Neurospora crassa OR74A: one gene and its partner. The protein of the gene in region 2 interacts with the protein of the main gene of each other region in a biochemical or structural test. Links are inferred from orthologs where the notes say so. Each region holds a gene or a part of one and is shown on either strand. Other genes may lie near its edges.

Evidence for each region.
Region 1: the proteins of un-10 (region 2) and NCU08046 form a complex in vitro, tested with the Saccharomyces cerevisiae proteins (4 studies listed by BioGRID, with this or other methods). The link is inferred for Neurospora crassa OR74A from reciprocal best matches to the Saccharomyces cerevisiae genes PRT1 and TIF35.

What each region holds. Positions count from the first base shown.
Region 1 is NC_026504.1:4,018,279-4,022,887, forward strand, and holds NCU08046 (eukaryotic translation initiation factor 3), read right to left. Parts: upstream 2,791-4,609; 5' UTR 2,721-2,790; coding exon 2,695-2,720; intron 2,639-2,694; coding exon 2,384-2,638; intron 2,228-2,383; coding exon 1,579-2,227; intron 1,375-1,578; coding exon 1,150-1,374; 3' UTR 636-1,149; downstream 1-635. Other genes in the region: NCU08047 (hypothetical protein), read right to left, coding at 3,668-4,609. UniProt on the Saccharomyces cerevisiae protein: RNA-binding component of the eukaryotic translation initiation factor 3 (eIF-3) complex, which is involved in protein synthesis of a specialized repertoire of mRNAs and, together with other initiation factors, stimulates binding of mRNA and methionyl-tRNAi to the 40S ribosome.
Region 2 is NC_026507.1:3,330,318-3,334,393, forward strand, and holds the start of un-10 (eukaryotic translation initiation factor 3), read right to left. Parts: upstream 2,801-4,076; 5' UTR 2,574-2,800; coding exon 2,302-2,573; intron 2,167-2,301; coding exon 624-2,166; intron 558-623; coding exon 129-557; 3' UTR 1-128. Other genes in the region: NCU02207 (T-complex protein 1 subunit beta), read left to right, coding at 3,827-3,829, 3,905-4,059. UniProt on the Saccharomyces cerevisiae protein: RNA-binding component of the eukaryotic translation initiation factor 3 (eIF-3) complex, which is involved in protein synthesis of a specialized repertoire of mRNAs and, together with other initiation factors, stimulates binding of mRNA and methionyl-tRNAi to the 40S ribosome.

The sequences.
Region 1 (4,609 bases), on a different chromosome or scaffold from region 2:
GAGTCGGAGGAAAGACGGGGGATTGGGAAGAGGAAAAAAGGCGGAGGGAGGAGAAAGGTATGGGGGGTTAGGGAAAGGGAGGAAGAGGAGGGTGGAACATGCCTGAAAGAGGTGAATGGAAGCGAGAATGACGATGAGGAGGAGAAGGAAAGGCAGGAAGGGAATGATACTGATGGAGAGAGTGATCATGACCGAAGGAGGAGGAGGAGGGGAAAGGCAAGAAGGTCTAGGGATGAGAAGGTGTAGGGGTTATGATGGGCGGGAGGCTATTGTTCTTGTGTGTTCATGGTGTTGTTGCTGAGGTTTCTTTGCGCCGAATGTCCCCCCCCCCCCCCCTTTTTTTTTTTTTTCATTTCATTCTCGAGTGATATTTGTTTCTTATTTCTCTTATAGGCAACCAGCCATTTTTCTTTGTCGACATCTTCCAAGACTTCATGATTTATGAGGGCAGGGCGGAGGGATGAACGACTTTTACGGTGATGAGATGAATGAGACAGGAAGATGAAGAGGATGAAGGGACGTGCCGGCTGCTTTGAGAGAGCTCAGGAACTTACGGTCTTTGCGATTGGTCGGTTGAGTTGATGATAGGACATCATAACAGATTCTGTCACCAAGTAATATAATGTTTGATGCCAGGGACGTTCAGCGGGATAGATAAATGCACTGATAATAATTCAAGAGTTCAGAGAGGCTGTCAGCTGTTTTAAACACTGGCATGCGCCCTGAATCGACAAGAAGACCACACTGTATTCTGAAGAGCTTCGGTGCGTTTTGGGCTCCTGTAGTCCGGGCATGTTGCCAGTCTATTACACCGATCTTGTTCAACCTGGAGTTAGCCCGTCATCCATGTAACAAAAGTCAACTATAACCACCTGGCCACCCTGGCCCGATATGCTTAAAAGGCGGAAGAAATCTCTCGATCATGACAAATTTTGCCGCTTGTTCCCCATTAGTATGAACCCCCACAGCAAGAAGAGACAGGAACCAGATCAAGTAATAGTAGTATCAAAGAGTCCTTTCCCATTTTGATGACGCACTTCCTTGTGCAGACCGCATTAGGGACCAAAACATCGCTGCTTCTTCCATCATTCCTCTAACCCCTTCCTCCCTCTCCTCCGCCTCCTCGTCCGTCTAGAAGACCCATTAAGTTTACGCAGCCTTCTTCGCGAACTCAACCCTAAGGATCAAATGTCTGAAACCGAAACCGTCCATCTTGGCGCAAGCCTTGACAGCGTCGCTGCGATCAGCGAAACTGATGAAGGCGAAGCCCTTGGCAAGACCCGTATCGCGATCCTTGGCAAGGAAGACACGAGTGACGCGACCGAACCGCTCGAACATATCGCGAAGCTCTTGTTCCTCGGCCATCTCGGAGACCTAAGCGTAGAAAACATGTTAGCACGAATCAGTCCCGTCATAATAACCCCTCTTTAGGAGCAGAACAGAGCAGCTTTTGCAAGTCTGTCGCCTACTCCCTCTTTCCCTTTTCCTTCTGCTTCTTCTTCTTCTCCACCACCACCACCACCTCCTCCTCCTCCTCCTCCTCCGCGTCCTTTTGGGGGACACTAGGGGCAAACGTACGTTGGTAACTCTGAGAGTGGCGAGATCGTCGCGCTCGCCGTACTTGCCGCCCATCCTCTCTCCAGCAGCCGCGGCCCCACCGGCACCACGCAGCGCAGGTGGCACGTACGAGCCCTTCTTGCCCGCGCCCGCCGCACCCTGGGAAGCGGCAGCAGCCTCGTCAGCAGCACTGGCGGCGACGTCGGCGGCAGCGCCGGCCTCGCCGATGGGGGCCATGGTGTCCTTGTAGGGACAGCGGGCGGTGAAATGCTCGCCGTTGCAAATACGGCACTTGACCTTCTTGTCCTTCAACTTGTCCTTCATGGCCTGGGCGTTGGGGTCCTTGCTCTCATCCTTGGCTTCCTGGCGCCAGTTGAAGGAAGGCTTGAAGATGATGTTCTCGCCGACCGAGGTGGTGTCGGGGGCCGGGCCGGCGCCGTCCTTGACGCTAAGGCCGAACTTGGTCCACGACTTGCGCTCAGCGACGCGGGGGTTGACGACCTCACGGTGGGTGATGTAGCGGATGCGTCGTGTGGTCTTGACCTTCTGGCCGTTGTCGTTCAGGCGGTACTCGATGATGGTCGTGCTGCCATCCTTGTTGGTGATCTTCTGAGGGGGCGGGAGTTCGGTGGAGGTCTCCTCGAGCTCGTCATCGTCGGCCCAGTCGTGCCTGAATGGTCGCGAACTATGTTAGACTCTTACTCTCCGAGAAATCAAATGCATACGTGTTGGGTTGTGAAGCACGCCGGAAAAATGGCAATCGGGGGAATCGGGGGCGTGGATGCAGACGGGCGTTTGCTGTCGAGGCAAGCGGAGGAGTACTGACTTCTGTTGAACGGCAGCCATCTTGACAGTATGTGGTTGTTTTGATTCCGCAGGTTCGGCTCGTCTGGTGATGGGTGCGGTGGATGACTGAAATGGCCGTGGGTTGTCGTCGCGATGGGTTGACGTTGCGCTGGTTTGGCGGCGATTTTTGGTGGGGCTCAAGTTTGAAAAGCCAGGGCAGTTTTCCCCCCCATTTTTTGGAGGTGGGAATTTTTGGATATTTGAGTGTGGGGCAAAAATTGTCTTGCTGACTCGGCTTTCACTCAGGAAATCAGCCCTGTTTGGCAGCTAACGGTGCTCTATCCTACGTACAATATCAAGGCAGCAGATTCGCACATGACAGCCAATACGGCTCCCTACAAACGAAGCTTCGTTCTTTGACAAAGCAGGACTGGTCGCATCCAGACGTATACGTTGAGGTGTTTTGCCCCTTCTTTCATTATCCGCTTTGGGTTGCTTCCACTTCGCATCCATTAGTGGGGGCATCACAGGCATCACAACCCTAACCCGAACGTTGCTCCTCCAGGCCTACCAGGGGCAGGGCGCGGCGCCGCAACATGGAGCTAGCTCAACTCTCTCGACACCAGGACGTGTTGTACATAGTAGGTACCTTTGTTTGCAAGTTGATGGCTGGCACCGAGGTTAAAGTTTGAGAGTTTGAACTCGATTCAGATTTCTCCAAGCATCCATATCTGATGCTCTAAACTCACTGCTATCTAAGTTGGCCACGGAGCCTGCCGGGCACCAGCTTTCTTCTGACTCTGTGACCCCCCTCCTCCGATTGAGAATCGAAAACCACCCCGCCCTTCATGCCCACCACACTCACCTCCTCAATTAATCACCTACATACACAGTAGGTACCCCAACATTACATAATACAAGGTATATGGCAAAAAAAGACAAATCCCGCACCAAATCGACCTGACAAAGGAGATCGTTCACACGTTACGTTCCGGATGTCGCCGGTGGTATAAATGTACCCTCATCACCTGGGTATCCAGTATCTTGCTTCCTGCATCCTTATTCCATCCATCTAACCGGTATCTTGTTTTTCGACTGAACCCGACCTTGAAAAAAGAGAGACAAAGGAAATGGTGACGGAGTCAATCAGCGGTTCGATGGCGGTTTATCTCTATCAGTTGAATCCCCAGGCGCCCTTTGCTCTGCAAGTATTGTCGCTGACAGATACTCGGAAACTTCAGTGGTCGTGCTTCCTAGACGTCCAGAAATGGCGATGCGTTGAATGATGGTATGGCGCCAGATACGAGTAAATGCAAATCACAGCTCAAGGTGAATATGCTGAGTGACAGACTTGAAGTGACGATTTTCTCGGGATTGGAGGAAGGGCACGATTCGGCGGGGGAGCAGGTGGGGGACCTTCCGCCAGCTGTGTCTTATTCCGTCGCGAACCCAAGCCGCCGTTGGCAACCGACAAAGACCTAAAATGGGGCGCGGGTCTCGAGCCCTGCTTCGAAAGTGAAGTTGAAGATATCTGGGGAAGGTCGCCGAGATCGTCACCGAGGTCACTCAGATCAAGGAAACTGCGATCAGGTTCGCTTGACCTTTCTGACAGCTGAGACTGCAGACTAAATCTTCTATCGGCGCGCTTCGATGGGCTACCTGGGTAATCGCCGACGGACGGAGTGGATCTGAGCATGTCTTGGAAAGCCACTGATGATGGAGGAGCATAGCCTGACCTCTTTTCAGGGCTACCATGTGTGACAGGTTGTGTGGGAGAGAGATTCTCCCAGTCCTCGCCGCTGTCACAACGTTGCTTGGTTGCGTCCGGCAATCCCCAAGACGAGAAAAGGGACTCCGGTTCCGGTGCTGTCTCATCAGCTACTTCGATTGAAACACCTTTCCTATCAAGCGACGGCGATTCAGGCGACGGTTGATCCACCACAAAAGAGAGCGGGCGTGAGTTGAGGCACAGAGCCGAGGGCGGGGGTCTCCGTGAACCGCCGCGCATCTGACAAGGTAGCGGAGGAGGTGGAGAAGATGGTTCAACTTCCTCTTCCGGGAGGGATTTTGTTGACCTAGTGAGCGAATAACGCTGGCTGGATCGTTTGCTAGAGCTCGAAGGGCTGCTGGGATCGAAATTCCACGTGCTCAAACTCGAGAGGGGATGAGAGGCGGCGAGACGCATTTCGAGGAGATGATTCGACGTCTGCAGAGACTGTCTTCTGTCACTGATCGCTGCTGCATTCGGTCTTGGTCGCGGTCGGGG
Region 2 (4,076 bases):
AGATATGAAAGAACCCAGTTCATTTTATTCACTGTACCCTCAGATGACCTTTTCGAAAAACGGGGAAAAAACGGTACGCCATGTAACTTCACAACATATCAAACTACTGCCGCCGCCTATTCGCACATTTACTGAACGATCTCCTCGGTCTCCTCCAACACCTCCTCCATGATCTCCTCGATGACCTGCTCCTCCTGGTCGGTGGCGAGCTCGGGGGTCTTGGCCTTGATGAGGTCGGCAACGGGATCCGCCGGAAGGCCGTAGATCTCGCGCTCCTCGGCAACCTCCTGCCTGATGGCCTCGCGCCAAGCGAACCACTCCTCGAGGAGGCGGCGGCGGGCCTCGACAACGGCAACGTCGGCGCTGCTGATGCGCTCGGCGTCTTCCTGCTCGAAGATCCTCGAGTACTCGCGGAGGTTGCGGCGGATGGCCTTCTGCTCCTCCTTGCTAAGGAGGGTAGCGGGGCGCGGCCTCCACTGGAACTGCTTGAACTTCTCGATAGCCTCCTCGCGCAGCTGCTCACCCTTGAAGTCATACAGATGATATCCGTTCTCCATCTGTTTTTGTTTCACGTTAGCGATTTCTGCTGCACGTCATCTTGATTTAATACCAATGATACTTACAGAGTGCTTCCACGCGGAAGCCCAGGTGGCAACGAAGCGACCCGAGGGGTCCCACTCAACGTCGGTGACACCGTAGTGGTCAGCGGTGTTCATAAGCTGAAGGTTGGCGGTAAGGTCCTTGTCGGACTCGGGCTTCTCGCCCTCAAAGTCGAGGTCGTAAAAGTCGAGATCAGAGCTCTGAGTGTTGGCAACAGTGGCAACGACCACAAAGCGTCCCTTAGGCGACCAGTAGATGGCATTGCTGTTCTTCTTCTCGAGAGTGCGGAGGTGCTTGAAGTTTCCAACAGCATTGCCCTTGGCCTTCTCAGGGCAGAAGAAAGCGACCGACGTCTTGGGGGGAACCGCGGTGGCACCGACAGGCTCGGTGGTGGTGATGATAACGAACCTGTCGCCCTTGGGCTCCCAGGCAAAGTTTATTACGGTATCCTTGATGGTGTCGACAACTTCCACAGGGACTCCCTTCTCCTTGACACGGAAAATCTCAAGAGTGGTAGCCTGAGACTTTTTGGACTTGGAGTGACGGTCAACCTTGACGCACAGATAAGCACCCTCGGACTGCCAGTGGAGCTTGGCATCCGAGACGCTGAAGAGGTTCAGTGACCTGACAACTTGCTTGGAGGGGATGCTCATCAAGCCGACTCTGGCGGGGTTGCTGCCAATCTCAGGGGTCCAGAAGCAGAAAAGTTGCTCGTAGGACTTGACACCGTCGCGCTGCACGGTGGCGGGAGCCCAGTCAAAGTCCACAACGCCCTCGATCTTGATGGCGGTCTTGTCCAACAAGTTCATCCTCGGAAGCTCGTAGACGGAAATAGACTGGCCGGGGTTCAGCCTGGCGACGTACTTGTCATCGGCAGACCACTTGAAGGCGGGCCAGGGGAACTTGGGGGCCTTCTTGGGAGCCTCGCCCTCGGCGGCGGCGGGGGTGTCGAGCTGGGCGAAAGAACGAAGGGGCTTGGAGGTCTCGATATCCCAGATAACGTAGTTCTTGCCGTCGTCTTCTACAGAAAGAGCGGGGTGACCCTCCTCAGGAATCGAAATCGGCCTGTTGGACCAGGTGACAAGGTACTTTTCGTTGGGAGAGAAGGCGACAAGGTTGACAAAAGGATGGGCAAAACGCCTTTGCCTGGTCCACGAGGGACCACCCCAAAGCTGAACACCCTGGGCGTGGACGGAGGTAAGGTAGGTACCGAGGGGCGACCACTGCACAAAGGTCTCGGTCCAGTGTTGGCGGTCAACAATATTCTCGGGCGTATCCTTCTCGTTGTTCCAGAAGACACCAACGGACTCTCCCCTGAACATGACAAACTGATCTCTGCCGCGGCCGCTGGGGTCGGCCATGAAGGAGCGGAGGTGCTCCTTCTCCTGGAACTCCTCGATCTTGGGAGGAGTGTACTCGTCATCGATACGGCCCTCGCGACCATAGCGGTCGACATCGGTAAGCTTGTTGACGCGGAGGGTGTGCTTCTTGTCGAGGGGGACGAGGTCGAGCTGTCTGCAGGCGGCAGCGGCCTCGGCGGGCGACGAGTACTCGACAAAGGCGAACCTACAGAATTCATATCAGTGGCCTGGTCGGGGAGCCAACATGCACAGCATAGGGACACATCGCGGTTCGGGCGCGGCGATGGATGGCCGGTCTGTAGATGCGCATCATTTTGAAGGCGGCGGCTGTGTTGCATACCTCAGCGACTTTCCATCCTCGCCCATGGGCATGAAGATGAGGTCCTCCCGGGTCTTGCCAACCGTGTTGAGCTTCTTCAACAGGAACTTGACGAGCTTGGGTTTTTGCTCCTCGTTGACCTCGGGGAGGCCGTCGACAACGACAAAGGCATCGTAGCCCTGCTCAAGCTGAACCTCGTACTTCTCGCGGATATCGGAAATGTCGACCTCATCAACATCGAAGTCATCCTCGTCGAGGTCCTCGTCGCGGAGGTGGTCGAAAGAGGGCGCCATGCTGGGCAATTAATCGGCAGTCTGTTATGCTTGGTGGGTGCCGGGGATTAGTGGTAGCTGGCGATGTACGGGTCGGGAAGGCGCCTCTGGTGGTGGTGGTGGTGGTTGGACTTGGTGGATGACGGGATTCTGGGCTGGCCGCTTCGGATTTTTTCTGCGATGCCGCGGGCGGAACAACGTGCTGGCTTATGCGGTCGTCAGGATTATTGTGAGAATTTGTGCGCAGCGCGCAGATTGTGGTGGGGTTCAGTGAGAACGGCCAGAGAACCAGGGAAGACAGTGAAGGGAATGCCCCACTTTAGGAGGCAATAATGCACGTTGATTGGCTACCCTACCAGATCCCCTCTCTCTGGAATCGCCAAAATGGGAATTTATGTCAGTGAATGCAATGATGGGGTGGATAGTTTGGAGGTTAAAGAAGACGGAGCCTCAGATATCATGGATATTGCACAGTCGCAATGAACACTCAGCCTGGGAAAGTCAAGTTCTCGATGCTGTCTCTATTCTTCATCAACTACAACTTTTTCGGTTTCCTTTCTTTTTAACAAAATGATGGCGGCAGGCAGTGGGCTAAGCATTGTTCGTTTGTGCACGGAACCAATATTGACCATGGCAACGTCTGTCCGCTTTCAGCAGAGTTTACAGGTTTCAAGTTGCCATCACTTTGAAGTCAAGAAGTGGACTGAAGGTTGCGGTTCGTTCGTTGCACCGACTCAGGTTCCCTTTCCTCTTGGCTTTGAGCCTCGACGGTAGTCCCCTGGGCTCCTCGCTTCTCAAAGTGCTGGCTGCGCTGTCCACCACTATCCACCGCCGCCGCCGCCGCTGCCAGCCCAAAGCTCCCCTCCCCCCCCCTTTCTTCCTTCCCCACGGAAGACGTCCAAGTGGGGTCCCCTGCTGCCCACTCACCTCAAGTGGACATTTTGTCTGTCAAAGGAGGGGCAGACGGCCTGGCATGCGAGTGACAAGCATTTTATGCCACCTGTCGCAGGCGGTGAGGTAAAGGAGGAACAGGAAGCTCTGGAATTTTGCCGTGGCCTGCCGTCCAAAAAGTGCCTGGAATTCAGAAGAGCATCATCCGTCCCGCTGCTGGCAGATTGTTGTAGAAAGGAGGCTTCGCGTTCAGGGTATCCATAACGTCCACCCAAAATATAGTACTACCAAGCTTCAATTGCTTCTTCTTCTCTTCCAACCTCAACCCCCTGTGCACCCCGTATCCCCGACCTTTTGTCTAATACTTAAGCTTCTTCTACATCATGGCAAGTTGATTTGTACATCACTTTGGGCATCTTTCCGAGCTCACCGTAACTAACCAACCGCCTGACCATCTCCAGGCCTCGTTTAGCCCCACCCAGATCTTCGAGGAGGGCACCACAGAAGAGAAGGGAGAGAATGCCCGTCTCAGCGCCTTCGTCGGCGCCATTGCTGTTGGCGACCTCGTCAAGAGCACCCTTGGTCCCAAGGGCATGGACAAGATCCTCCAGTCTGCGTATGCTTGTTCACCAA